Linked DNA regions of Diceros bicornis minor. The protein of the gene in region 1 interacts with the protein of each later gene in a pairwise test. Links are inferred from orthologs where the notes say so. Each region holds a gene or a part of one and is shown on either strand. Other genes may lie near its edges. The genes, in order: NR4A1, CDKN2D, PRDX4 and PGBD1.

What was found.
Region 2: the proteins of NR4A1 (region 1) and CDKN2D interact in binary tests that used the Homo sapiens proteins (3 or more experiments, as listed by UniProt). The two-hybrid records come from large-scale screens. The link is inferred for Diceros bicornis minor from reciprocal best matches to the Homo sapiens genes NR4A1 and CDKN2D.
Region 3: the proteins of NR4A1 (region 1) and PRDX4 interact in a two-hybrid assay, tested with the Homo sapiens proteins (2 studies listed by BioGRID and IntAct). The link is inferred for Diceros bicornis minor from reciprocal best matches to the Homo sapiens genes NR4A1 and PRDX4.
Region 4: the proteins of NR4A1 (region 1) and PGBD1 interact in binary tests that used the Homo sapiens proteins (3 or more experiments, as listed by UniProt). The two-hybrid records come from large-scale screens. The link is inferred for Diceros bicornis minor from reciprocal best matches to the Homo sapiens genes NR4A1 and PGBD1.

The regions. Positions count from the first base shown.
Region 1 is NC_080756.1:18,053,483-18,060,897, forward strand, and holds the start of NR4A1 (nuclear receptor subfamily 4 group A member 1), read right to left. Parts: upstream 3,016-7,415; 5' UTR 2,938-3,015; intron 2,708-2,937; exon of another isoform or gene 2,400-2,707; intron 1-2,399. UniProt on the Homo sapiens protein: Orphan nuclear receptor. Binds the NGFI-B response element (NBRE) 5'-AAAGGTCA-3'. Binds 9-cis-retinoic acid outside of its ligand-binding (NR LBD) domain.
Region 2 is NC_080769.1:8,697,911-8,705,515, reverse strand, and holds CDKN2D (cyclin-dependent kinase 4 inhibitor D), read right to left. Parts: upstream 2,864-7,605; 5' UTR 2,667-2,863; coding exon 2,526-2,666; intron 1,482-2,525; coding exon 1,122-1,481; 3' UTR 512-1,121; downstream 1-511. Other genes in the region: protein KRI1 homolog, read right to left, coding at 1-44; AP1M2 (AP-1 complex subunit mu-2), read right to left, coding at 4,845-4,867, 5,256-5,331, 5,701-5,826, 6,366-6,524. UniProt on the Homo sapiens protein: Interacts strongly with CDK4 and CDK6 and inhibits them.
Region 3 is NC_080781.1:19,904,836-19,911,709, reverse strand, and holds the start of PRDX4 (peroxiredoxin-4), read right to left. Parts: upstream 3,008-6,874; 5' UTR 2,945-3,007; coding exon 2,701-2,944; intron 1-2,700. UniProt on the Homo sapiens protein: Thiol-specific peroxidase that catalyzes the reduction of hydrogen peroxide and organic hydroperoxides to water and alcohols, respectively.
Region 4 is NC_080753.1:38,618,460-38,625,820, forward strand, and holds the start of PGBD1 (piggyBac transposable element-derived protein 1), read right to left. Parts: upstream 3,019-7,361; 5' UTR 3,010-3,018; coding exon of another isoform or gene 2,956-3,009; intron 1,124-2,955; 5' UTR 1,043-1,123; coding exon 647-1,042; intron 1-646.

The DNA.
Region 1 (7,415 bases):
CAAGGAGGACGGGCAGGGAGGGCCAAACACCTCCCACCACAGCCAGGCCCAACCTGAGTGCCCAGGTCTTCCCCACCTGTGTCTGAGAAGAGGGGCCAGAGTCGGGGACTCAGGGGGTGCCCAGAAAGTGATTCCTAACATCTCAGAGCAGGTATCTGATCCCATCTCCTGTCCCAGATCAAAATCACCTCCTCAACGGTCATCATCAGCATTTACTGGGAGCCTACTGGGAAGCAGGCAGTGAGCAACGAACAGTGGGAGACCCAAGAAGGAGCAAACCGAGATCCCTGGCCCCTAGAGGTTACGACAGGGGAATGAATCAAGGTCCATCACAATCAGCACTGTGCAAAGCAGAAGGCAAACCAAGGGCTGAGTGGGCTGGAGGGGGAGAAAGTGATGGCCCCCCAATGGGATGGGCGCATCCGGCCAGACTTCAGCACCCAGCTCCGGCTCCCCCTCCTCGCTGTACTCCAGCCCCATGGGCTAGCTTTCCCCACTCAGGACCTTTGCATTGGCTGTTCCCTCTGCAGGAAGTCATTGCCTGGGATGTCTGTATGGCTAGCTCCTCCTCATCAATCAGGTTTCCATTCCATTCCACCTCTTTCGAGAGCCTCCACCCCACCCCAGCAGAGTAACCTATTTTTATGATCTCCACAGGATGAAAGCTGTTCATGTGCTCACTTGTCTGTCTCAGTCACCGCAGTGTCTTCAGTCTCTGACAGAGAGCTCAGCACTCGTAGGGCTCAGCAGGTGGTTGTGGGATGGAGGAAAGCAAGACTCACACATGCACGGGAACAGAGCTTCGAGGAGGGTCGGCCAGTCACTTGGCAGGAGGTGGAGAGGACCCTGCAGCTGAGAAGCTGTCCCTTCCATTTCAGGGCCGAGCCAAAGTCTGAGGGTTCTTCCCTATGCTCTGTCACAACCCTGCCGCCAGGAGCTCCCAGCCCTGGCACCCAGCTCTGCCCGGGCCCACCTGAAAACTCCCTCTCCTTCTTCCTATCAAGTATTTGAGTCTTTTCTTTTTTTTTTTTTTTTAATTATTTTCATCCATTTTTTTCACTTTTTCTTTTGTGAGGAAGACCAGCCCTGAGCTAACATCCAATGCCAGTCCTCCTCTTTTTGCTGAGGAAGATCGGCCCTGGGCTAACATCCATGCCCATCTTCTTCTACTTTATATGGGACGCTGCCACAGCATGGCTTGACAAGCGGTGCGTCGGTGTGGGCAGATCCGAACTTTCGAACCCCAGGCCACTGAACCGGAGCTCGAGAACTTAACCGCTGCGCCACCAACCGGCCCCCCAAGTCTTTTCTTAACTAAACTCCTCCTTGCAACAGGACATGGCTGATAGACCCTCTGCAGCCCCGGTGGCCTCCTGGGCATAAGCTCTGCATTGGCCAATGTGCCCACTCAGAAACAGGCATATTACTATTATTAACAATAACAACAGCAGCTAATATTTGTTCAACACCATTGTGCTAGATACATTACTAAGCACTTTACATGCATTTTCTCATTTCTGCCTCACAACACTATGAGGAAGAGATCTATACACTATGAGGAAGAGATCTATGAGGAAGAGATTATCATGAACATTTTACCAATGAGAAGACTAAGGCACAGAAATGTTAAGCAACTCACCCAAGATCACAGAGCTAAGAAGTGGCAAAGCTGGGATTAGAACCCAGAGAGCCCCACCTGGGAGCCCAGGGCCAGGCATCCCTCTTCCCTGATTGGACCTGTTCAGTGGGTAGAGGCCTCCGACTGCACAGAGCAACTTTTTTTCTTTTTTTTTTTCTTTTTTTTTTTTTTTGCTGAGGAAGACAGGCCCTGGGCTAACATCCGTGCCCATCTTCCTCTACTTTATATGGGACACCAAGACAGCATGGCCTGACAAGCGGTGCATCGCTGCGCGCGCGGGATCCGAGCCCCGGCCGCCAGCAGCAGAGCGCACGCACTTAACCGCTACGCCACGGGGCGGCCCCCTGCACAGAGCAATTTGACAGCCAACACCCAAGAGCAGGTGGGAGCCCCCAGCCCCCAGGGCCAGGGTCCCTGGGCCTTTGAGCCAGGCACTGGGCCTGACTCTTGACCTGATTTTTTAACTCCAGCACAGACTTCGACATTTATAAGACATCACATTCATCTTGTTAGTCTTGGTCCATCCTTCTGCCCAGTTGCCATCATTTGGGATCCTGGTTTTATCGTACCTCTCAGCTCTAGGTCACTACAAGGAGTCGGCTGGCTTCCCTTTTAAGTCTTCATCCAAATCACTGGTCTAAACATTCATTGGAGTGGGTCTAGGACCAGCCTGTAGCCACCCCTGAGCTCCTACCCAGGCTGTTATCCGCCCCACAATCCATCAGCACCCTTTGGGCATAACTGTTGTGAATCCACCTACCTCTGCCCAGCCTTCGTTTCCCAGCATGCTGGTAATACCAGCCCCAAACTCAAATTCACGTTCATTGTAAACCACCGCAAATGCCGCCTCCGCAGAATTCCTAAGCCCAGGTCTGCTCCCGACTCCATGAGACCCTCGCCAGGCTCGGTTTCTCCTCTCAGTCCCACGAAGGGGTTGCCCCGGGCAATTTTGCTCCCTCCGGGCTCGGCGTCTTGGCAGCCGAGCTCCCCAACTCCTGGAACCCGTTCCCCGCAGCTGGCTGGGAAATGGAAGGAATTTCTCTAGCCTAGCCACCTCCAGCGCCCCTCGCGGGCCAAACCCCACCCTTGGCGGGCTGGGGAGAGAAAGGCTTGGCCGCCGCACTCGGGGGCTGACTCTGAGCTAGCAGGATCCGCTGGGAATCCAGTCCCTGCCCCCGCTCCCCGGGTTCCAAGCAGGACCCCCAGTTCCCCCCACCCCCCAGTGCATCCGCGAAGCCCCCCTCTCCCCGGGCCTCTCCCGGGGACCACCTCACCCTCTCCCCAAACGGCCCCCTCACCTGGCCGGGCGAGCTCGGCTGGCCTCTCCGCCCCCGCCTTCCGGGGTCGCGCGCCAGCCGGCGGGGAGCCGCTCCACACGGCGGGGGCGCCCATGCCGGGAGGCCGGGGGTCTGGGCGCGCGCGAGGCCCCCCAGTTCCGCCGCCGCAGCCGCCTCGGGCTCCTGCAGCCGCGCCGCTGCGGCCCGCGCCCCCCGCCCGGGCAGCCCCCCGCCCCGCAGTTCCGGCCGCGGCCGCGCCCCCCGCCCCCGCAGCCCGCGGCCGCCCGCGCCGCCAGCCCAGCCCCGGGCGCGCCTCCCCCGGCGGGCGGGCGGGCGGGGACCGTGACGCGCGCCCATTGACGTCTCCGGAATCCCGGCGGCGGCGGCCGACGCAGCCTCATCAATGGGGCTAAAAATAGCAGCGCCCGGAATAGCCGCGAGCGCCCCGCCCCGCGGCCCCCCCAGCCCGACACGCGGGCCGCACGCCCTGTTACATAAGCCGCCCCGCGGCGACCGGGCCGGGGGAGCTGTTTTTCAGGTGAGGGTTGTGCGGCCTTGCTAACACCTTCCGAGGCGGCCAACCTGGGTCTGGGTTATAAATAAATTTACCCGGGGCTTCCCCAGAGGGAGAGATGGAAAAAATGAGGCCCAGAGAGGCGCGGCAGCGGCCCAAAGTCACAAAACAATTAGGGTGGCTTGAGGGACAGGGCTCTGGCCCTCTTGGGCACCCCCACCAGCATCGCTTGGCCTGCATGCCACCCCAAAGGCAAGGAACCCAGCTAGCAGGGTGCCCAGCTTCCACACAAGAAGGCAGCTCAGACAGAACAAGAGGACTTCTTGGGAGGGTGAAATTTCTCCTGCAGAGAAGCACTCCTGGAGGCAGGTGTGCAGACAGGGGCAAGGCCCCAGTGGTGGATTCACTGATCTGGCTGCTCCCATACTACTGTGTGACCTAGGGCAAGTCACTTCACCTCTCTGAGGCTCAGTGTCCTTACCTATAAAATGAGGATGATAATCTGATCCACCTTTTCTGGTTATCGAGAGGACTGAACAGCTGTGGAGGTGCCGTGTACACAGCAGGCACTCCTAGTTACTTTCTCCTCCTTGCTCTCCTCTAGGAGTCTGACCTCCCCATCCACAGCTGCTCACCACAGTGGCCATGAACCCATGAGTGGCCCACACTCTTCTGATCACAGTCTCCAAGCACAGGCCTCCCCAGGAAAAACCTTCCCGGGGTAGGAGTGCTTGGAAGGTTTCTGTCTCCCACCTGACTGGAACACTCATTGGAAAAGGGAGCACTATCTTGTCCTGAGCAAGTCCTTTCCCCCTACAGCCGCCCTACTTAGGAGTGGCTAGTTCAGGGAAGCCAGGCCAAGGCTGAAGCAGTGGGGCTGGGATCCAGGATCTGGCTGAATGGGGCTGGGGTGACAGTGTCTGCTCCTGTATTGTGTGCCGGGCCAGGCCATTGAGGAATACCCATTAAGCAGGACCCAGGCCTGTGCTCTGCTGCACCAGCCATCCGCCCCTGCTCCTTTCTGGAGCCGCCTTAAATGACGAGCATGCTGTCTGATCCCCCGCACCCAGGCCAGGCCCCACGGGCCCTGGCCCCACGCAGCAAAGAATCTCTTCTGCATTCAAAGCTCTCCCAAAGAGGCCCCACACCCCTACTCAGCCCTCATTCCAGGGGCCACATTCCTCTCCCCACCCCCCTGCCCGCCCCCAGAAATCCTTTTCTGGACCTGTCCTAAACTTCTAGTGCAACTCAGAAGCCCCTTTCTCTCCTTCTTTATAATGATCCCAAGAATCTCTGGTTTGTCTCAAAATCAACTTCTCAGAACTTTGACATTTCTCTCCCAGATTCCAGTATTAGGCCAATAAAGAGACCAAGAAACTGAGGCTTCAAAAATGGCAAGGGAGGGTAGCCATGAGACTGGCTTCTTCCTCCCCCAACCCCCTTCTCCTTCCTACCCCAAGAGTTCCTTCCAAATGGGCTCTTTAAAAAAGCCACTACCCCCTCTTTTTCTTTTTCCAGAAATCTAACTTTTGAAATACATTTTTAAAATATTTGCCTGTGTAGGAGAAATACATTTATTTGGACAGGAAGGATAAAAAAAAAGGCTCAGTTACCAGTTTTTCCATGAAGTCTTCCAGCCCGCAAAGGTCTCTCCTTTCTATAAATACTTAAGCACAACTTGCTTTCTTATACACTCTCCTGTTTTATAACCAAGTAAAACCTATATTAAAATATGTAATGCTAAACCACATACACCTGTGTGGCTCGTGACAGCAGTGTGAGGTGGCAGAAGGAGCACAGATAGGCTCAAGAGGTCTGGATTGACACTGGTTCCAGCTATTACCAACTGTGTGACTTCAGGGAAGTTACCTTCTCTGGGCTTCAGTTTCTTCATTCGAAACACAAGGATGATAACATACCCATCTCACAGAGTCGTCATGAAGAGTGCATCTTTTTTTTTGGTGAGGAAGACCAGCCCTGAGCTAACATCTAATGCCAATCCTCCTCTTTTTGCAGAGGAAGACTGGCCCTGGGCTGACATCCTTGGCCATCTTCCTCTACTTTATATGGGACGCCACCACAGCATGGCTTGACAAGCGGTGTGTCTGTGAGCACCCGGGATCTGAACCCCGAAGCGCCTGGGCCGCCAAAGCGGAGCGCGCACTCTTAACCGCTGCACCACCAAGCCGGCCCTGAAGAGTGCATCTTTTTTTTGTTTTGTTTTGTTTTTTTGGGTTTTTTTGTTTATTTGTTTATTGCAGTAACATTGGTTTATAACATTGTATAAATTTCAGGTGTACATCATTATACTTCTATTTCTGCATAGATTACATCATGTTCACCACCCAAATACTAATTACAACCCATCACCACACACATGTGCCAAATTATCCCTTTCGCCCTCCTCCCTCCCCTGGTAACCACCAATCCAATCTTGAAGAGTGCATCTTGATAGCAGATACAAAGAATGCAGCAAGGAGTCTGGCACGGAGTAGCAGACCTGCCATTTCCATGCAGGAGGACTTGGGGGAAGGAGGGGTGGGGACCTTGTCTTGAAGCTGTACATGCACAGCACTCACCCAACTTTGCCTGGCTAGGGTGTTTATTTGGGGGCTTGAGGAGCTGCACAGGGCAATGTCACCTCTTAGTGTCATTACGGATGTGCAGTAAATTTCAGCCCCCTTGTTGTCTCCTTGACCCAGACCACTCAGCTAGTCAGTGGCCAAACCAGGACCACAGCCCAGGTCTTCTGACTCCCAGACCATGGCTCTCGTTTCTACCCACCGTCTTGTCCCTCACGCCTAGCCCCTCCTCTTTCTACGCAAATTCCAGGAACTACGCCACAGCCCCTATTGCAGATGGGAAAACAGAGGAGAAAAAAGTAGAAGGTCAACTGCTTGCATGGCTGAGGAGCTAGGACTAGAGGAGGAAACAGACAGTATGGCCAGTGCTGTCCCACATCCTAGGAAATTCCTCAGGTAGAAGAACAAGACCTTGCCACAGAAAGCTGGTTCCTAGTCTGATGGGGGACAGGACACAAGAATAGCTATGAAAACATTGCCAGAAGGAGGTCCAAGAGGCAGCCTCCAAGAGGCCTCGAGCTGGTATTGGGGTGGAATCTAGAGGGATAATCTGAGAGGCCTCTCTGGAAGAAGAGAACATGGGGCACAGTGTGAAGGGAGAGATAGGACCAGGCCAGGCAGAGAGAAGGGAGGGCCTCGCATGGAGGAGAAAGAATGACCCCAAAGCTCATAGGTATGGGGTGGGAGCAGGGTTGAGATTCTGGGGGTGGAAAGCCCCAGGACCCAGGACAATCAGCCAGACCCCTAGTGGTCTTCCCCATAAGGCCCTCCATCTGACAATAGCAGAAACCCTTGATCCAACTACCCCCAGTCAGGGAGACACCTTTCCCTTACCTCCACCCTGGCCCACTGGGGCCAGGGTTAAAAGAATGGCAAGGCCGTTTCCCGGCCCATTTGGGCCCAAAAGGGGCTCCCTTGCCCAGGCCTGGCCCTCAGTGAGAAGAGGGGCTGTGGAGGGGATTCCCTTCACGGTTCCTTTCCTCATCTTGAGGATGGAGAAATACCTGGCTGGGGTCCCCCACCGCTCCCCAGATTTAGGAGCAATCAAAGGGTAAAAAAAAAAAAAAAAATGGGGGCACAAAGACAGGGCCTAGGGACACCGCCTGCATGGGGTTGCATGCTCTGCACTACACAAGGATGAGGAGGCCCGGCTGGGTGCTCGGCTGGGTGCTTTTTCGAAGTGCCTCCACATTTGCTCTTCCCCGGTTGCCACGGGACGCCGTCAGGGCCGGCACGAAAAAGTGGCCAGGTCACCAGGCTGGAAGTGACAGAGCTGGAGTGAACGCCAAGATTTCCCCTAAATCCAAACCAGGCTCTGTATTAAAAACAAACAGAAATCCTCTGTAACTTATTTTTTAAATTACAAAATCAAACAGGCTCGTTGTAAACAAATGCAGAACTGC
Region 2 (7,605 bases), on another chromosome or scaffold:
GCCGCGTTCACCCGCAGCGCCGACGACCCGCGCGGCTCCGGCATGGCGGCTCTGCGGCCCACTGCGCACGCGTGCGGCGAGCTGCCCTGGAGGAGGCGGGGCTGCCCAGGCCCCGCCCACCGCGAACTTTAAAGAGGGCGGGGCCTAGCTGGCAGTGCCTAACCCTGCCCCCGGCCCTTCCGGGATCCCTTACGCCCTGTGCCCGCAGTCCCCGCCCACGGGTCACACCTCTGCGGGGAAGGCTGCGGCCACCGCCCACCCCCACCCCCACGGCTCCAGGCACCCAGCTGACATCTGGGGGCCCTTTCTCCACTCGCGGTTTCCTGCCTCCTTTCCGTTCCGACAGCGCAAACCGCTGCCCCACCCAGCTCACTCACCCTGGCGCCCTGGGAATTACCACTCTCTCCCCTCCCCCAAATCATCCGAGACCCGCGACCCCCGGGCCTACCCCGCCAACATCGCGGACGCTCGACTCCCCGCTGCAGACTCAAAAATCACAAGCCACCGGCGCTGTGGTCACGCACAAGTCTTAATTTAATGGGTAAAAACATTAAATTATCACACACAACAATTTTTTCCATAAAGCTTAATAAATAGAATCTTTTTTTCTTTTTAACGCTGTACAAGAGACTGGAAAACAAGCTTCCAACAGAATATGAATGAACTCATACTACCCTTTTATTGATTTGGAATACTCCCCCCTCCCGCCATGCCCGAAAGCAGTGTGTACATTCGAGGTCTCTCTCTGGGTACAGCCGGCCAAGGTCGCCAGGTTCCAGGAGCCCTGGACGCGATGACCTCACTCGGGCTGGGGCTTTAAATGCTGTGCCCTTGGGCCTCATCTGCAGCCCCAGCAGCCTGGGGCGTGGAGGAAACTGAACCGTTTAAGTGGTTGCTGCCTGCAGGAGCCCTTCTCTACTCAATACACCAAAAGGGGTGAGAAAAAGAAATGAGAAATGCCCCTCAAACACACACACTCTAGAAATCAACACCAACAAGCCACAAACTGGGGCCCCTCCCCCTCGGCAGCGGTCAGGAGGAGCTGGGGGAGAAAGTGTTTCTTTCCTCCTCTTCTGACATGGAACCCAGCCGGTCCTGACGCTGGGGTGGGTGGCGCCGGGTCACAGCGGTGCCACCGTGGGCCCCTGCAGTATGTCCATGAGATCCTGAGCCCCTCTCCCCCGAGCCAGCTCCAAGGGTGTGAGCCCCCTGGCGTCCCTGTGATGGAGATCAGACTCAGCAGCCAGGAAGCTGACCACAGCCGCGTGGCCCTCCCGGACCGCCAGATGGATGGGGAGCGCCCCGGTGCCATCGGGTGCGTTGACATCAGCGCCATGTTCTACCAAGACTCTCAGCGTGTCCAGGAATCCAGTGCGCGCTGCGTCGTGAGCCGGAGTGGTGCCGGAAGCGTCTTGGATGTTGGGGCTGGCACCTTGCTTCAGGAGCTCCAGGGCAATCGTGGGGCTGCCGAACATCATGACCTGTGCGGGGCAGAGGGGCGGGGTCCTCAAGGGAGGGGTTCCAGGAAAAGGGGTCCCTGGAGAGAGGGGTCATTCAGAGAAGGGAACGCCAGAGAAGAGATCCTCTAGGGAACGAAGAAACCCCAGGGAACACAAGCCCCCGGGGCAGCTGTTTGAGAACAAGGAGGCCAGAGAACAAGGCCTCCAGGGAACAGGGACTCCAAGAAACTGGTCACGCCCCTAAGAATAAGACACCCGCCTAGGGAATAGCCCCATGGAAACTTTCAAGGAATCTAAGACCCTCCCCAAGGAACCAGAGCCCCCCCTCCTCTAGATATGGGAAATCACCAGGAAATAGGCCTCCTAGAATGAGAAATTGTCCCCAAAGAATTTGACAGCCCTCTCAAAGGAAAGGAGATGCCCAGGGAATTTGACACTCTTTCTCCAAGAAACAGCCCCGCCCCATATAATGGGGATGATCCCGGGTACCTGGCCCCCTCAAAAAATGGGGTTCGCCTGTAAAATGTCCCCCAGGGGATAAGAATTTTCATGCAATCTGCAACTGTTCCCCCATTAGGACCCCCTATAATATACCATGAATCTGGGGGGGGGGAGACAACAGGAATGGAGATCCGCCCCAGAAAACTGGATACGTCTAAGAGAAACCCCCAGAAAATGGGGACGCCCTGGAGACATAAATTCCTCCTTCCAGGGATCAGATGCCCCCATAGAAGCCCCAAGAAACCAGAGCCGTCCCCATGAAACCGAGATCCAAAGAAACCGAACCCTTATCCACGGAATAAGCACTTCTCCAGGGAAACTGAATCCTCCGCACTAAGAAAACAAGGAGTCCTCCAGGGAAGATGGGAAGCCCTCCCCTCCCCCACCAAGCTCATCCACCATCCACCTACGAAAGGGGACTCCAAGGAGCAACGTCGGCCCGAGAATGGAGGCTCGGACCCCAGTCGGCCCCCGCCGGGGCCAGGAGACGGGAGGGAAGGGGGCCGGGGTCCCAGTCCTCGCCCCGCTCCCCCCTGCCCTGGCTCGGGGCCGGCCGGGCCTCACCTGCAGCGCCGTCTTGCCGAAGCGGTTGAGGGCGTCGGGGTGCACCAGCTCCCGGTGCAGAAGGCGGCGCACCTCCTGCACGTCGCCTCGAGCCGCGGCCCCGCTCAGCCGGTCGCCGGCGCGGACCTCCTCCAGCAGCATGTCGACGCGGGCGGCCTGCGAAGCCCCCCGCCCCACCGCGGCGCGATCAGTGCGGGGGAGCCCGGCGGCGTGGCCCCCACAGCCCTCCCGGCCTGCGCGCGGCTCCCGGCCCGGCTCGCCACTCGGGGGCTCCGGCGCGACCCCCGCCCTCCCGGCCAGCTCCTCCCACTGTCAGCCAGCGGGTCGCGAGGGGCTGGGAGCGGGGCCCAACCCTCCGCCGCCCGCAGGGCCCGGCCCGGCGCCCGCCCCTTGGGGGCCGGGTCTCCCCCCAACTCACCCTCCCTCCTCCTCGACGGGCGGGGTCTGTTCTGAGCCGGCGCCGCCGCCGCCGCCGAGCTGGCCGCCAGGGGGCGGAGCCAGCGCGCCCAGGCCCCGCCCCCGAGCGCCGCCGATTTGTTTTCTTACGAACTCGCTACACTGTAGCCCCAGCCGCGTTGCCCTGCGCAGGGCCCTGCGGCGCACCGCCCACGCGGCCGGCGTAGCCAATGGCGACGCGTCGCCGGGGAGGTTTCGCGTTCCGGCGTGGGCGGCGCCGCTCCTGATTGGCCGAGCCGCGGCGACCGGTGGACCGCCGGCAATGGCGGGGTTTTCGGTTTTCAAACTCGCCGGGCGGGCGGGAAAGAAGGCCGGTTTAACTGACCCAGGGGAGAAAGGTCAGGGGCAGAGGAGCGCGAGCTGCGCCGGGACCTCGGCACCTCCGGGGGGAAGGGAGGCAGGGCTGGGGCCGCCCGGTCCCGGGTTCCAGCACTGAGTCACGCGATGACATTTATTCGCCGTTACTATGCGCGGAGCGTTTAATTTCATTCATTCACTGCGCGCAGGAACCGTTCCGGGCGTGGGGAGCGCACGTTCCAGGGACTACGCGGGTTTAGATGGCGTTAAGCAGCGCGAAGAAAATAAAAAGGGAAGTGTGGTGAGCGAAGGAGGAATCACGTTCTGGCCCAGACTGAGCCAGCCCTGGCACAGCAAATGCAAGAGGGAGGGAGGCTCACGCTGCGGCTGCCACGTGGGCGAGCCTGGGTGGCGAGAGTCGCGGTGGGAGGCCTTCATTCGAGCATTTATTGAGCACCTACTGTGTTCTAGGCGCCCAACTGGAGAGCGAGCCGGGTCGGGGGGAAGGGGGGCTCCTGCCGCAGGATGCCTATCGTTTAGGGCGGGAGAAGACAATTAAATCTTTTCAGAGTGGTAAATACTCTGGAGCTGATAAAACAGGGTAAGTGATAGTCTCTGGGGAAAGGAAGCCGCTGAAATAGGTCAGGGAGGGCCACCCGGAGGAGGTGACATTTGATTTGAGGCCTGAAGGTGAGAAAAGGCGCCGTGTGGATATCTGGGGAAAAGCATGCCAGGTGGAGGGCAATGCAGATGCAAGGGCCCTGAGGTGGGCCCGTGCCTGGTGTGTCCAGGAAGAGCGAGGGAGAGAGAGGGAGGAGCTGAGGGCAGGTGGTGGGGAGGAGGAGTGCAGCTCAGGCTTGTGGGCTGCGGTGAGGACCCGACTTTTACTTTTAACAAGATGGGAACCGTGGGAGGTTTCTGAGCCGAGGAGCCAGGATCTGACTTAGAAGTTCGCAGGCGCCCCCTGGCGGCTCTGAGGGGAACTGACTGTGGGGGAGGGGAGGCGGGAGCCTGGGGACCGAGGTGGTGGCAACTTCGCTGGCCCAGATGAGCGATGCCCAGGGCTGAGGAATGGATATGTTGCCCACTCCCATCCCAGCACTTAAGGGGCGTCCCTGGCATCCCCGGCCCCCAGCCAAGAAGACATGCGCAGCGGCTAGATTCATCTTTTTAATACCACACTAAAACTCAGAGGAGTGGGCCAGCGGGGCCTCTGGGCTCAGCAGCTGTGAAAGAGGAGGGGCCCACAACACCCCCTAAGGCAGGTCACTTCGAGAAGGCACTCATGAGGGGGGCTTCAAGTCCCTCTTCTATTTCTTCATATAAAATTGGAGGATGGGGGAAGCCCGGGGGCGGGAGGGATGGGGCTGGGGACACGGGAGGGACACCATCCCTCCAGCCTATGGGTAGAAGAAAAGGCAGACAGATGCTGGGAGCGAGAAAGTGCTGAGCCAGGGGCCTGCCCTCACACAGACACACGCCCATCTTCCCTCCCCATCTCTCAAGTCTGTAGTCGGTGCGTGGGGACAGGGAGGCGTATGCTCAAGCCCCCGCCTCTTCTCCCTCCTAGCTGGTACGAAGCTGATAATCTGCAGGGAAACAGTGAGCAGGGACTGTCTCAGAACTGGGGAAAGGAGACAGAGGGGCAGGCCCCCCATCCCTCCCTGGCCCCAGGGCTCTTGATCAACCCCTCCAGTATGTAACAAGGATGAGGTCAGACACAGCAACAGTAACCATAGCAACAAGCCTGTTTCCAGGCAACAGATGGGGGTGCTGTGTTCAGCCTCCTCCAAACCCCACCACCCAGAGCTGGCAGCTGCCCCCATTTTAAAGATTGGCAAACCGAGGCCCAGAGTGGCACGGTGACAAAGACAGGGAAGGCCTGGGGCCAGGCCTGATGAGTTTTGGAGCCCTCCAAGCTAGATTGTATCAAAACCCCAAGACTGTCTCCTGGAGCCGGGGAGCCAGCTGCCTTACCGCCGCTCTGGGTGATATAGCGGACCCAGGGCAGGGCCTGGTAACCGCTTTTCTCGATGATCTTCATGTATCGGACCTGGAAGGGAATGAAAGGACATGGCCAGGCTCGAGGGACAGCTGGCTGGGGCCAAAGGAAAAATATCTACCCCCTTGGGAGGTGAAGATAACACAGGCTGGGAGTAATGAGGTGACATGGCTTGGGGCAAAGATGTGGCACGGGCAGTGGGAGTGTGGAGGAAGGTGATCCAGGATGGCAGGAAAGAGATGGCACAGGGTACAGGAATAGACACTGCGGTTTTGGGGGGACGAGGTGGCACAGGCCAAAGTGAGAGGTGGGGGGAGAGGAGACCCAGGCCAAGGAACTGAGGGGACCCAAGCCAAGAGCTGGCAGAGAGGGACACCCACTGAAGCGAAAAACAGGAGCAACCCTGCCCGCTTCCCTCACCTGGATCCCAGAGACGGTGAAATAGGGGATCTCAAACCTGACCCCGATGGGGGGCCGGCCCTCCTCCTCCTCCTTCTCCACACTGGGGAGGCCGAAGTGGGCACGCATCAGGTACTCCTTGCCCCCCTGCGGGCACATGGGGGCATCAGACACGTCAAGGGGTGCCTACTTGCCCCCAACCATCAGCCCCCAGGGCAGGCTCTGCCCTCAGCGCATTTCACAGACAAGAAAGTAAAGGCTCCTGGCCGAGACTCACAGCCAAAGCTTCTGACTGCAAAGCTTGGTCGGGGGGCAGAGGGGGCTTCTAGTGACTATATCCCATTTGTCAGACCCTGATGAAGCCCCTCGCAGATCCAAGGGACGGAGCAAATCCTCCAGCAGCCCAAGGATGTGGGTAACATGGTCCTGCCTATTTCACAGATGGGCAAACTGAGGCTCCAGGAAGGGAAGGCCTTTCCCAAGGCCATCTAGCTCAGAACCCAGGGCTGGTTCCCTTGAGACCTGCGAGGGGGAGAGCTTAACCACCAGGCTGGCCTGGTTTCCAGCTGTGTGACCCCCAAGGATAACCGTGTGCACGCAGATGTGGGTCTCCAATTTACTCTCCACCTTGCCCTCAAGCAGGGGGAACGAGTCCCGCCAGATGCCCCACCGTCCCCAGTGCTCACCGGGAAGGACTTAATACTCCAAATAACGACGTTCTTCTCCGGCACGTACTTGGCGCTGCCCACGCTGGTCTTGAAGCGCGGGGAGTCGGCGTCGCTGGGCACAGGCACAGAAATCTCCACGCCGTTGGCCACCGACTGCTTCTTAAACTGCCCCTTGGCCTGTCGAGGGAGAGAGCGCGGGGCATGAAGAATTCACTCCTGCCTTCTGCAAATCTTCACCAAACCCTTCCAGGCGCCATCTCCTTGAGAGCCAGCCCCCACGACCCTGAAGTGGGGACCATTATCCTGCCCATTGTACAGATGAGGAAACAGAGGCAAAGAGCACTTTGCCAAAGCCACACAGCTGGCAACTGGCTCAGCAGAGATTCCAACCGAGCCTGCGTCCTCAACCATCACACTTTACAAATAAATGCATGAGTTACCACATTCTCTCTGTGTCTAGAGCTGTGTGACACGGGACAGCTTTCAACACAAGGATTCTAAGTGTTCCACGGGTGGTAGCTAGCATTATGATTACTGCTGTTATTCAGTAATTTGGGGAGGGGTGTTTGAGAGGTGGGATCAGGGGCAGAGGACCGGGAGAGGGCGTTCTTTCTGGAAGTCACCAGCTTTAATGGCCCCTTGCCCGTTCCCTGCCTGCAGAGACGGGGACATTGAGGAGTGTCCAGACCCTCGCTGGTGGCCATCCACCCCACAACCCAGCTCCCCTGAGACCCTAAGACTGGGGAACAGTCAAATCAAAGAGCACAGACTCTTGAGCCAGGCAGACCCGAGTTCAACATGCCCCACCCCTTCCTAGATGAGTGACACCTTAATCCCTCTGGACCTCGGTTTCCCCATCTTAAAAAAGGTTTCACTATAAGCTCTGGAGAAAATCTTGCTTGGGGCACCAAGAAACCTGCACGGGGCTGTGAACCAGAGTAGCAGGCAACTGAAAACCACCAAGAGAATGGACAGATGTAGAAGATTCCCACAGTAGAATATTCTACAGCTATAGAAATTGATGCACTAAGCTACGCTACAATTCCTGGGATTCGTCTTTCTTTTTTTCTTTTTTTTTGCTGAGGAAGATCCGCCCTGAGCTAACATCTATTGCTGATCTTCTTCTATTTTTTTTTTTGTATGTGAGCCGCCACCACAGCATGGTCACTGATAGATGAGTGGTGTCTGTGCCCAGGAACCAAACCCGGGCTGCTTAAACAGAGCATGCCAAACTTAACCACTAGGCCACCAAGGCTGG
Region 3 (6,874 bases), on another chromosome or scaffold:
GGATTATTTTCCTAGAGGCCTTTGAAATAGGAGACCCCCTTGAACAGGTTTCAAGTGACCTGATGGAAAGTGAATAGTTCCTGCACTCTCTTGTGAGGGCATGGTGTAATTCTAGCCAACACGCTTTGATAATAATGTACCTTGATCTTCTGTTAACACATTCAGATAGCACTTAAACTTTCAGAACCATTACATACATTGAAGTCAATACTTGCTTCCAAGTTTGACTAAGGTTCCTAGAAAGTAAGGGTTATAATTGCTAGTACTTATTGTATTTTGAATAACAGACAGCATTTTTGGTCACTCTGAAACCAGAGACAAACTTAAGATGAATTTCTCTGTGAAGTTAATATATAACATGTGATTACTTATCTTGGGCCAGCAGCCTACCTCATATAAATATTCTGATCTGATTAAGTAAAGGCCAGGAGGGCGAATTAGATAGCAGAAGGGTACTCAACTGTATATGCTTTACATATGTTATTTAAAATGCTACTCAAGTGTGAGGTTATAATTGTAATGATCTGTTACAATGATACTCCTTAATGATTTTAGCATATTGAGAAAAACAAATCTGAAAAATAAATTGATTTTGGAAATTTGGGGTTTTGATTTAAGAATTGCAGTGTTAGTTCAAAGAAAAAAAACTGTCATTAATTTATAGAGCAAAAAGAATGTAGTTACTTTGCTAAGATCTATAAGTGGAATACCCAAAGCAATCCCTTGCATCTATCAAAAAACAAAAATTGTCCTGAATATAAATCATATAATTAACCAAGATTCTGGCAAATGCAGAGCAGTATAAAGAATGTTTAAATCTCTTCTCTCCATAACCCCCATCAGTTTAACCACTGTTAACATTTTGACGTCTTCCAGTCTTTTTCAAACACACAAATTTTTTTTTTTTTTTTTTTTTTTTTTTAAAGATTTTATTTATTTCATTTTTTTCCCCCCAAAGCCCCAGTAGATAGTTGTATGTCACAGCTGCACATCCTTCTAGTTGCTGTATGTGGGACTCAGCCCCAGGATGGACAGAGAAGTGGTGCCTCGATGCGCAACCGGGATCCGAACCGGGGCCACCAGCATCGCAGCGCGCGCACTTAACCACCAAGCCACAGGGCTGGCCCTCAAACACACAAATTTTGATCCTTTGCACCCTTTTTAAAAAGGAAACAGTAAATCATTAGCAGTTTTTCACGTTACTAAAATTATTTGAAAGTATGGACTTAATGGCTCCATAATATTCCATTTTACCAATAAAAGTGCTCCTATCTTTAATTCTACATAAGCCTACATGTGACACAGAAATGTAGCAAATATCTAAAATTTGAAAAGGCTTGCTGGTAAAGGGAGATCTATAATTCCTACTTTTTGCTTCCATGAGCAGACTTGGATGGGATTTGTTTCTTATGGGAAATATACGTAATGCCAGTAAACATTTAATTGGCTAACATATTTCAAAATATCTTCCCAGGCAAGTAAAACCAACAGGACTTGGAAATACTATGATTTTAAAAGTGCAAGACTGGCTTTTTAAAAACAAAAGTCCAAAAGTAGTTAACTTTCAGTAGGAAAGAACAGCAAATGTGTAAGGAGGCAAAACAGTTTTGCTCACTTATCCCTCCCAATCCAACCTAAGTCATAACAACATCCCATTCAACACTGGGGAGTCCTAATAGTGAAGCATTACTTTTTTTGCTGAATATGGGCACATAACATGCTGTAACTGAACCACAAAAGCCAAATGCACATCTACAGAATGCCAAATGATCCACAGGAAAAGCAGGTTACTTAAAAGCAAGCAAAGGACAGTCGCTATCCTTGAGCCCCTCCCTGGCCACTTCTTTTTGGCTAATCTTAACACCCAGATGCAGCAGGCCATAACTTTCTCACTATCTACTTAATCTGACGTGTCCTTCCTGAAAGTGGCCATTAGCTGTGTACACTGGACAGAATGCAAATAATCAAAAACCAAACTGCCAAGACACAAATTTGCCACCAGGTTTATCATCAACTCAAATGCATTACTTCCAACCTCCTTTTTCCCGGTTTCCCTACAAAGAGCCTCCAAAATACACCCTGTAACAAGTTCTTCATTTCTGAGAAATACAAAGAATACCCATTAACTACCTATACAGATTTTTGGGGAGAGCTTTTAAAATCTTTACAAGATGGAAAAAAAAAAAAAAAAGAAAGAGAAAAAAGAAAGAAAAATGAAGCATTTGCCTTCCTCGGCATTTTGTTTAACCACTTTTCTGTTTAATCAAATTTCTATGAATCATTATTCAACTTATCAATGCATTCTTCCCTGAAACAGTACTTGAAAACGGACGTGATGTGCTGCAGGCACTCTGCAATGTTTGAGGAAGTGTTTGGATTTGCACAACATCCTCCTATGCTTTCAAGCCTGGGACGAGGGCCACCCTCTTTCCCTTATCTGTGGCTTTCGGGGTAACCACTACTTCTTTCAAAATCTGATTAGTGGAAACCATTTCTTTCTTTACAGCTGGAACCCCCCTCGATCTCCCCAACACCCAGGAGAGAGCCAGGACCGCTCAGGGACCTGAGGCAGCCCGGGTGCCGCCCCAGCGAGGCCCTCGGGTAGCCACCGTAACCAGGGTACACGTGTCACCAGGCCCTCCCCACCAGCAGCCTCCCTCTGCCACCGGTCACCCCCCGCCTTGGCGGGGCACCACCTACTCTTGGCTTTGCTGAGGTGCAGGGAGTGATCAGCGACCGAAACCCGGGACGCCTCCCCGGGGTATACTTGTCCACCCGCGTAGAAGTGGCACTCCTCTTCGCGGGTTCGGGGCCTCTCCTCCGCCTCCCAGCCCCGCTGCGCCCCAGCCGGCAGCAGGAACAGCAGCAGCGGCAGCAGCAGCAGCCTTCGGCTCCGGCCAGGAGCCAGAGTCCACGCGGCCGGCAGCAGCGGCGGCGCCTCCATGACCACGCGAGCGCAGACACACGTCTCTTGGCGCGAGCGCGACTTCTCCCGCCGCCAGGCAGCTACAACCGCGCGCTCGACGCCCGCGTGAGCCGGGGCGCGGCCTCGCGAGACCTGCTCCGCCCCCCACTCCCCCCGCCCTCCTGCCCCCCCACCTCGTCCCCAGCCTCCCCGCTCCCCCGCCCCCCGCTGCTCTCCTGCCTCGCCACGTGGGCGCCTGCCCCGCCTGTTCGCGCTCAGCCAGCGTTTGCGCCTGCGCCCTGGGACTTAGCCCAAGTCTGCGGAGGCCGCCGGGTGGCCTCCGCCGTGACTGGCCTCACGCGCTCCCGCCCTGTGCACTGTTTTAGACATCCTTCCACGCCCATCGCTTCTACAAAGCCTCACCGCCTCACCACCTCACGCCACCCGCCCCCCTCCTCCCCTCAAGTGAAACTAACCTAGCTGCCTTTGAACAGCTTGCATTTTATACTTCTAACAGTTACTCCTTTTTTTCCGTTAAGTGATCTGTGTGAACAGTGCCGCGACTCCCCCATCTAGTTGCAGCCCTTTTAAGTTCTGGGAACACTCGGAGAAGAAAGGTCTAACCGTTTACTCTCCTCCAGTAGGCAAGGACAAACAGGCAGTTTGGTGACTTAAGTCTATTTCAAAGGTGTCTATTTTCTTTTTAATCAAGACTTGAAAAGTTCCTAGGAAACCAGACTTTATCCCAGCACAGTGTTGTTCCATCTTCTCCCCATCACTCACCCATTTGCTAGGATGGCGGGTGAGAACTGGGGAGAGAGACACAACACACACCAGAAAGACAGGCGCCATCGGCAGCCTTTATGCCCCCCAAGATCCCTTCTATCTTCCTGTGAGCTCTTGTCATCTTTCTGAATCCCGCGGAAGCCTTCCTAACAGTTCGTCTTTTCTCTATTAGACTGTCAGCTCCCTGGGGTCAATATCCATGTGGAATTCATTTTTGTTTCCCAAGGCACCTGGCACACGGTGAGCATTTACTATTGTAAGTGCCTGATTTTGTAAAGAACAGCTAATGTTCCTGACAGCCTGTCTTAGTTTCAAGTTGCTTTCACATATTATTTCCTTACTCCTTGTGACAACCCTTTGAGGCAAATAGGAAACCTGCCCTTGCCAAATTCAGCCCTCACCCCAGTCCTGCCCGTTATAAGTTTTGTTTTCTGTTTCCTAACCTCAGTTTCCTGTGGGCAAAGGAGGAAAAATATGAAGCCACCTGCCTTTTGCCGGGGCAGAGGAGAGCATGTCCTTACCCATAACATTGTCTGGCAACTCTTCACTTTCGGGAAGCCCATAGATGGGAGTCCTTTGACGAGGTGGCTCTCGCTGCTCCCATTCTTCTCCTTCCCTGGCTTCCTGTTCCACGTAGAGGGGGAGTGGGGCCCGGGGGGCTCGGGACTGAGTCCCAGGGTTCCGGCTTAGGCCTATGCCCCGAGGTCGGCTTCTGTGATCCATGTTGACTGTTGGACAAAGAACCACGGAGCCTCAGTGAATTCTAGGCCCTAAGGTGGGCCTGTAAGTTTGGGAACTGGGAGGAGAAGCTCGGGGAGAGTGTTATTTCCCGACACCTCTGCTCTGGGCAGAGCTGAGGTGCCCCAGTTGGCAGCAGGGGCTGCCCACCAAGTGGGCCCCAGTGAACCTCCTGCCCACTGGAGAGAGTGGCCAGGTAGGCCAACCCCCAGGCACAAACTGTGTGCCCCTCAGTTCCACTGGAACCCCTTGGCAGCTGGCATTCTGGGTGTCAGTTGCTCTGAATCCTCCTAGCCAATGATATTTCCTGAGCGCTTGCCTCCTGCAGGCACACATTGTGCTGTCACAGTGGCAGTCACAAGGGAGCTGGAGGTGGGGGTCCTGTCCCCAGTGCACTGACCATCCAGCTGGAGTCAGCTGCCCATATAAATAATACAAAACCACCAGGCAGAGAGGAGTGATTCTGTACATAGGATGCACCTCAGAAACACCTGAGGAGCTTAAAAACATTCAAGTGTATGGACCAAGCCCCAGACACGATGATTTAAGAGGTCCTTGGTGGGAGGGAGTCCCACGCGTCTATGGTTTCACAAATGGCGTGTCTGGTTAAGACCCAGCACTGATGGAGGTTTAAGAGCACAGGTTACAGAGTCAGCTGTTTCTATGTTCCGGTCTGAGCTCTGCCACCTATTGGACTCGCGGCCTTAGGAAATTAATTTAACCTCTCTGAGCCTGAGTTTCATCTGTAGATGGGAGACATTAACACCTTCCCCATGTCGTGAAACTGAAATGATATGCGTTTCATGATATAAGTGTAAAACCTAACTTAGAATGTGGGCCAGACTTAGGGGCTCGCTTCTAACGCATATGACAGGAAGAATGCTTTGTGACTTCTGATGCTAGGTCACAAAAAGGGTAGTTTCCTCCTGTCTTGCATTTAGAGTACTCATTCTGAGGGAAGACTTTTTGTCCAAATTTTTTTTTAGATAAAATTCACAAAACATATAATTTATCATTTTAAAATGTATAATTCAGTGGTTGTTAGTATAGTCGCAGGATTGTGCTTTGTGCTCACTGCTATCTAATTCTAGAACATTTCCATCACCCCCAAAAAGAAACCTCGTGCCTGTTAGCAGTTAATTCCTCCCTTTCTCCTAGCCCCTGGCAATGACTAATCTACTCACTCTCTATAGATTTGCCTGTTCTGGATGTTTCATATAAATAAAATCATATAATATATGTCCTTTTGTGTCTGGCTTCTTTCACTTAAGTATAATTTTTTTTTTTTGGTGGGGAAGATCAGCCCTGAGCTAACATCCGATGCCAATCCTCCTCTTTTTTGCTGATGAAGATTGGCCCTGGGCTAACATCCATGCCCATCTTCCTCTACTTTATATGGGATGCCGCCACAGCATGGCTTGGCAAGCGGTACACCTGTCCGCGTCCGGGATCCGAACCTGTGAACGCTGGGCCGCCAAAGCTGAGTGTGTGCACTTAACTGCTGCACCACCGGGCTGGCCCCTTAAGTATAATGTTTTTAAAGTTCATCTGTGTTGTTGCATGTATTGGTACTTCATTCCTTTCTTTCTTTTTTTTGTTGGTGAGGAAGATTGGCCCGGAGCTAACATCCGTGCCCATCTCCCTCTATTTTGTATATGGGATGCTGCCACAGCATGGCTTGATGAGCAGTGTGTAGGTCTGCACCCGGGATCCAAACCTGCGAACTCTGGGCCACCGAAGCAGAGCACACGAACTTAACCACTATGCTACTGGGCCGGCCCCCATTCCTTTTTTATTGGGGTAAAATATACATAACAATACTTACCATTTTAACCATTTTTAAGTGTATAGTCCAGTGGCATTGAGTACATTCACACTATTGTGCACTCATCACCGCTATCCTTCTCCAGAATTTTTCATCTTCCCAAACTGAAACTGTACCCATTAAACAATAACTCCTCATTCTCCCCTCCCTCCAGCCCCTGGAAACCACCATTCTACTTTCTGTCTCTGAATTTGACTAGTCTAGGTGCCTCATATTAGTAGAATCCTTATTTGTCCAATCCTTATTGTCCAAATCCAATATTTGTCCTTTTGGGTCTGGCTTCTTTCATTTAAAGTTTAATGGTTTCAAGGTTCTTCCATGTTGTAGCATGTATTGGTACTTCATTCTTTTTTATGACTGAATAATATTCTGTTGTATGGATATACAAATTTTGTTTACCCATTCATAAATTGATGGATATTCAGGTTGTTTATACTTTTAGACTATTATGAGTAGATAAATCACAAAACATATAATTTATCATTTTAAAATGTATAATTCAGTGGTTGTTAGTATAGTCACAGGGTTATGCTTTGTGCTCAAGTTTTTATGTGAACATATGTTTTCAATTCTCTTGGGTGTATATTTAAGACTAGAACTGCTGGGCTATATGGTAACTA
Region 4 (7,361 bases), on another chromosome or scaffold:
AAATTGAGGGGCATTCTATATAACAACTGGCCTGTACTCTTCAAAAATATCAATGTCACGACAGACAAAGAAAGACTGAGCAACTGTTCCACATTCAAGGAGCCTAAGAAACACAGCAACTAAATGCAACATGTGATGCTGGATTGGATCATGAATTGGGGGAAAATTGCCATAAAGAACACTATTGGGGTAATACGGCAAAATTTGAACAAGGATTACTTTTTGGATGATAGTATCATAACAATTTTAATTTCCCCAAACTTGATAACTGTATTCTGGTTACACAAAGGAATGTCCTTGTTCTTCAGGAATACACACAGAAGTGTTTAGAGGTAAAGGAGCATGATATCTGCACTAACCCCCAAACAGTTCAAGAAAAAAAAGGTGTGTGTGTGTGCATGTGCATATATGTATGCACACATAGAAAGAGAGAAAGAGACGGGGAGTGCTCACTCACACAAGAGTGGGGCACATCATGAAACAACTGTTAACAATTGGTGAATCTGGGTAAAGAGTATACAGGAGTTCTCTGTGCTATTCTCCCAATACTTCTGTAAATTATAAATCATTTCAAAATAAAAAGTTAAAAATTAACAGACAAATGTTCCCCATTTCTTCTCCCACACCACACACATTCTCTTCCCACCTGCTGTCCTGTGTCTCTTGTGTCTGTCTCTAGATTCTCCAGCGCTATCACCACCTCCTCTCCACTCTCCAGAGGATACGCCTGCACACAGGCCTGGAGCTCCCCGGGCAGGATGTTCAGGAATTGCTCCAGCACCAGCACCTCCAGAATCTGCTCCTTGGTGTGTGTCTCTGGTCTGAGCCACTGATGGCAGAGTCCCCGAAGTTGGGCCAGAGCCTCCCGGGGCCCGGCTACCTCCTGGTAGCAGAACTGCCGGAAGCGCAGGCGACAAAGCTCCCGAATGTGGGAGCTGCTCTCCTGTGAGCTGCTCATCTGCTCCCATGTGGGATCTTCCTCCTTCATTCTCACAAAGCTGTCTCCATTTTCAGGAGTGAGGCCTGACAAAGCTTCATCCATGTTGAGCTTAAAGGCTAGGAAAAGGTTCACTTAGCCGGAGTCTATGCTTCAGAAATGCTTTTCCAAATGTACATCTGAGACCTAAAAATTGATCAGTAACTTGAAAATTACAAGAGCTTCAAACTCTAAGTAACATACTTATATTTTTGTCCCATCTGTAAGTCATGCTCAAAAACTGAGACTGCTTGCCTATATTATCAGTGAAATTAATCAGAAGTATAATGAACACTTGAACCTAAGGAGGTTGAGCCCAGAAGTAAGAGATGTAAGGTATGGGATATGAGGAAAGAAGGGTTAACAATAAGAGTGCTTGAGCAGCTTACACTTTAGCTGGAGAGAAGAGATAATTTTACCCATGGGTGAGCCAGATGGCTGCCTTCATGGACAGATCAATATACTGTGAAAGGTCATCTATCTCTGTGTATTTCTTATGGAATATTCTACCTTAAATGTAGGTGAGGTAGACTGTTTCCAAAGTCTCCCATCCCCTAAAACCTTTTGTGATGAGATTTTGTCACTCTTCTCATCAAGAGGTGGAGTCTATTTTTCCCTCCCTTGAATCTGTGCTGGCCTATGACCTGCTCTGACCAATAGAATATGGCAGAAATGACACTGTAAGAGGAAGTGCTCTTGTACCTCTTGGCACACTGCCATGAGACTGCCATGCTGTGAGGAAGCCCAAGCTAGCCATGCAGAGAAGTCATGTGGATGAGAACCAGGGTACCCCAGCTAAAGCCCCACTGGGCCTAGTCTACAGCTGATTCAACAGCTGAATGCAGCCTCATAAGTAACTCTAGCACTGCCCAGTCAACCCACAGAATCATGAGAAATAACAAGCTGAGGTTGTTTCAAGCCACTACATTTGGGGTTTTATTTTAGATAACTGAAACGGTAAACATACTCTAAGTTCTTTTCCCTCTCTCTCCTCACTTTCTACTTTTGTGATCTCATCAATCGTAATTTCAATATACCTCTATTCCAAGCACACTCAAATTTCTGTCTGGCTCCAACTTGCTTTTCACATTCCAGACTCACGTCTTGAAATGCCAGCAGGATGCCTCCAGCTTCGGGCCTCTCCTGCACCATAATTTCAACACATCCCAAACTGAATTCAGAGGCCCCTCAAAGCTGCACTCTCTCTGGATTGTTCATTTCCATTGGCATCACCACCATCTTCCATACATTCAGGCTGAAAACCAGCCCCTACACATAATCACTCTGAGCCTAGTCAATTCTTCCTCCAAAATGCGTGTTGCAGCCATTCCTTCCTTTTTATTCCCTTATTACCATTTACATTCACTATTACAATAATTTTCTCTATGGTATTCCTGCCCCACCACACGCTCTGTCATCATTGGATTGATATTTCCTAAAGCACAATTCGGACCATATTCAACACCCCATCCCTCTCCAAAAGCAGGTTTCAATTGCTTCTCACTGAACTAAATTCAAACTCCCCAGGATCTGATCCTTACTGAGTTTTACTGGTTTGTTTGTCACTCAATAACATTTATTGAGCACATCATTACTTGCCAGGCATAACACTAACCCAGGAATAAAAGACACAGTTCCTACCTCCAAGAAAGCCATAGTTGTCCCAAATGCTTCATGTCACCGCCATATCAACTACTCAAATTTTTTCCACCCACCTTGTACTTTACGGCCAGGATCGCCCTCGTAACAGGGTAAATTCCCAAACCCAAACCTAATGTATAGACAGAGAAAACTCTTCTGTCCTCTAAGCCACTCAGGTGGAGGTGGGGCGTTCCCATGGAAAAGTGAGCTCACACCTGCCTCATCCACCGCCCTCCCTCTCCGTCTCTATCACAGACCACACCCCCAGTCACCACCGCCGCCCCTGCTCCTTGAGGACAGGAGTTTATTTGCATAACCTCAGGGAGCCCGGCACGTACCTGGTAGTCAACAGATACTGGTGGACTTCTGGATGAATGCACGTAGATGTACATGAGATGCCGGTAGCCAAGACGCTCTGGCGAGCCCAGAACGTACCTTACTGAGAATGCACCGCGCACCTAGCGTCTGGCATACAGTGGGCACTCAATAAGTGCGTGTCTAATTGCTGGGTAATGGACCAGAAGTTCAAGGAACGTGTACAACAAAGACGTGGCCGACCTCGTGAAAGGCTCCCACGGGAGCGCGGGGGCCCTGGTCTCCACAGTCGGGAGGAGCCCGCCCCCGGCCTCCGCAGAGCCCGGGCCGCAGCCCCTCGCGGGGCGGGCGGGTCTCGCCCTGCTCCCCGCAGCCGGCACCGGTGGTGGGACGGGCGTAGGGGCGCGAATTTCTTCTGCAGCCGCGCGGGCAGCGGAGTCGCGGCGTCCGGCCGGCTCCGTGCCTCTCTAGGAACGCGGCCGCACGTCTCTCTGGTGCGCCCGGCAGACCCCCGCGGCCACCCCGCCCAGCCCAGGCGTCTCTCAGCCGCTCGACCCCAGGGCGGTCCGGACGACCCAAGCATGCCCATCATTTATGAAACCATTTCAGTTAAAAACCACCAAGATGGTAAAGGCAAAACTGAGTCTCTGTCTTTAGGGTCCTCACAAGCTGCTGGGGGACACAGTTGAATAAATAATTATAATACAGCAAGCAGCACAAATTAATTTTTAAAATTTAAATATACAGATTATATATGAACAATAAAAACTCACATTGAGTGAAGACTATAACATGAAAAGCGTCCCACTTCCCCGAGTTAACCATTGTTAATATTTTGTGTATATCATCCCAGGACACTACCAGCCACACAGTAGCACTCAATAAACATTTGTTTAGTGGCTAAGTATGTATCTATATATGTTAAAACACTTATGAGATCACAATATAATTTCGCACCTTAGCTTTTTCGGTTAAGATAGCTTAGAGAGCTTTCCATACAAGCTTATTTTTTAACAGCTAAATAGTATTCCATTGTATAGTTGTACCATAATTTACTTAATTATCCCTCTTGTTTTATTTTTTCTTTATAAGTAATGCTGCAGAGAACACCATTGAATATCTTTACATACTTTTATGAGTACATTTCTAGGGTAAATACTACACATTGGAATTGATTTGTTAAAGGGCATGTGCATTTAAAATTTTGATATACAGCTCTCCTATTTAATTTTTAATGGCACTGCTGTTTAAGAGGAAAAGGAGAATCTAATAGAAAAATTCAGCAAAGGTGAACATGGCTGTTCACAAAATCAGAATTATAAATCACCAATTAATATATGAAAAGATGTTCAACTTTAATAGTAAAAATATTTTTTAAAAAACTCTTTAAAAAGTAGACCCATTTTGTATGCACCAGATTGTCAAATATTCAAAAGAGTAATTCCCAGGGTTGATGGGTGTGGAAAAATGGGCATTTTCACAGACTGCTAACAGGATGTACACCTTTCTGAACCTTTCTGAAGGACAATCTGGCCAATGCATCAAAAAACCTAAGAAAATATGTCTATCATTTGTTTCATCGATTCTAGTTACAGCAACTAAAGGAAGCAAAATAATTCTACAAGTAAGCAAAGTTGTATGTACAAGGATGTTCACTGAAATATTGTTTATGGTGACAGAACTGTAGATAACCTAAATGACTAACGATGGGGACATATACCATAGATAATTGTGAACTTATATTGAAAATTATCTTCCATGAAGACCTCTAACGATCTGGGTGTCTAAATCAGGGATTTCTTTATTTGTTGGCAAGGTTCAGAAACAAGTCAAATTAACTTAAAAGAAACCTTTATTAGAAGGAAACAAGGGCATTCCATGACTCCCAAGACCAGTGTATAGATGGACTGCAGAAGTTGAGGGCCGAGGCTGCTTCTCCTGAGTCTCTCTAGCCTTCATGGGATCCTGGCTTCAGGAGTTGGCTTCATTCTTTTGCTTCTTGCTGCCAGCCCAACGAGACAATGGAGTTTGTCTCTATTTGGTTTTTATGTGATCACAAAAATGGTTCCGGTTCTCTATTACTTTCTGGTTCAAATGCCTAACAGAGACCAACCAGAATCTGTGATCCCACGTCAAATTCCTAGGTGTATCTAAATGACCAAGCCTGGCTTAGATGCCTCCTCCTGGTTCAATCCTCTGTGGTCAGAGAAGGATCCAATGGCTGGCTGCCCACTCAGGATTATGGGAGATTTGGACTAGAATGGAGTGGGCAGGTAGGTAAATTGATTGTTCTGTCCACTACAAATGAAAACTGTTCATGATATAATTAAAGTCCAGTGATAAAAGTGTTTCTATGTATAAAAAAGATCAGCATCTCAAAACATACATTAAGAGAATATCTGTGGACCATGAGACAGGATGATTTGTTTTCTTCTTTACAATGTTTTTACAATGTATATGAACTTTCTGATAAATATGAGTTAATTTAATAAGAATTTTATGAAGATATTACAATGGACAATTATGTTAAAAATTGAGCAGAAAAAATTATTAATACTGACTGATCATAATTAAGTTAGAATACACACACACACACACACATACTAAAGAGTGATTATTTTTGACAGATGGAAATTAGGGTGATTTTTTTCTCCTTTCCTATTTTTCCATACTACTTTTATAGTGGCAAGCTATATAATAACTTTATCAGATTTTAAACAGGAGAGTGAGCAGGAAATGGGGACAAACAGAGACTGCCAATTCCACTCTATATTTGGACACTGCAGCTACTACCCAAACAGAAATGGCTGAGCAGTAGAAGACACTGGTGCAATATAGTTCATCCTTCCTGGGTTCCTGCCCTCTGCATAGATTTTTAACTTCCTTTTAAGGTATCTAGGATGTGTCACACTGCAAGCAAAAACCTAATCGAGATGTTATAACATTTGCCCTTTGTTTAATGTTTCTGTAACTGTCAAGAATAAATAAGAAAAACGTTTTTGTTGTTTTTTTTTGTAAGGAAGATCAGCCCTGAGCTAACATCCATGCCTGATCTTCCTTCACTTTATGTGGTACGCCGCCACAGCATGGCCTAACAAGCGGTGCATGGATGTGCGCTTGGGATTCGAACCCGGGCCACCAGCAGCGGAGTGCATGCACTGAAAAACATATTTTTAAATATATCTCTATGCAACATTTATGCCCAGGTGGTTCTGGGTCTGCCCCCAAGGTACTGATGAAAACACCATTTCCTTTGGAACCTAAGGAAGAATTAGGTTGTTTAAGGTGTGAATGAATTCAGAATGCTTATAATACCCGTACTATAGAATCATCTTGAAGAAAGAAAGGCAAGACAAATTTTCCAGATATTTAAGGGTATACAATTCTTCATCCTTTAAATCTTTTCCTTGTCATTGCTTTTTAAGGAGAATAATAAAGATATTCTATGTTCTTTCCTTCTCAAACTGAACAGAATCAAATAGATTTAAACTATGATGAGGAGCTAAATGTTTAGGTACTGACCTCAGCACAGCCCTCAAAATACTTGAAAATCCCTGATATCAACTTAATTTTACTCATAAAGACAGAATAAAAGATACGTAGCTTTATGGCTTCCTAAGCAATGGAACGTGACTGACTTTTCCACGAAGTTCTTTAGTGTCTCAAAAAGTTACAGTTGTTTCTCCTACACATTTGGTCATCCTCCAGGAAACAGTATTAACTGTGGCTTCTGGTCAGCTTGTACCCAGTCAGATCAGAGTGGAAGGAACAGGAAGTTTGTCAGACTGCTAAGTGCCTATTCCAACATTCATTCTCCCCTTATTCTTTCTTTCTTTTTTTTTTTTTTTGTGAGGAAGATCAGCCCTGAGCTAACATCCATGCTAATCCTCCTCTTTTTGCTGAGGAAGACCGGCTCTGAGCTAACATCTATTGCCAATCCTCCTCCTTTTTTTCCCCAAAGCCCCAGTAGATAGTTGTATGTCATAGTTGCACATCCTTCTAGTTGCTGTATGTGGGACGCTGCCTCAGCATGGCCGGAGAAGCAGTGCGTGGGTGCGTGCCCGGATCCGAGGCCGGGCCGCCAGTAGCAGAGTGCGCGCACTTAACCACTAAGCCATGGGGCCGGCCCCTCTCCTCTTTATTCTTAGTGACAGAAGCCTAATTTTCAGTTGGGCCCTCTGCAACCCAGACACACTTTCCAGCCTCCCTTTCCTAAGTTTTGGCCTATGACATATGTGCTAAAGTAATTTATGGGAAGGCTGCTCAAAGGGCGCTGACTGAGCTGGAAGGAGCCTCTTTTTGTCCTTCTGCCTTCTGTCCACATTTTGCATGTGAGGTCTGGAGCTTCAGCAGCCATCAAGGATCATACGATGACCTTAAGGACCGATGGCACACACTAGGATGGTGGAGCAGAGAGGCAGAGGCCAGA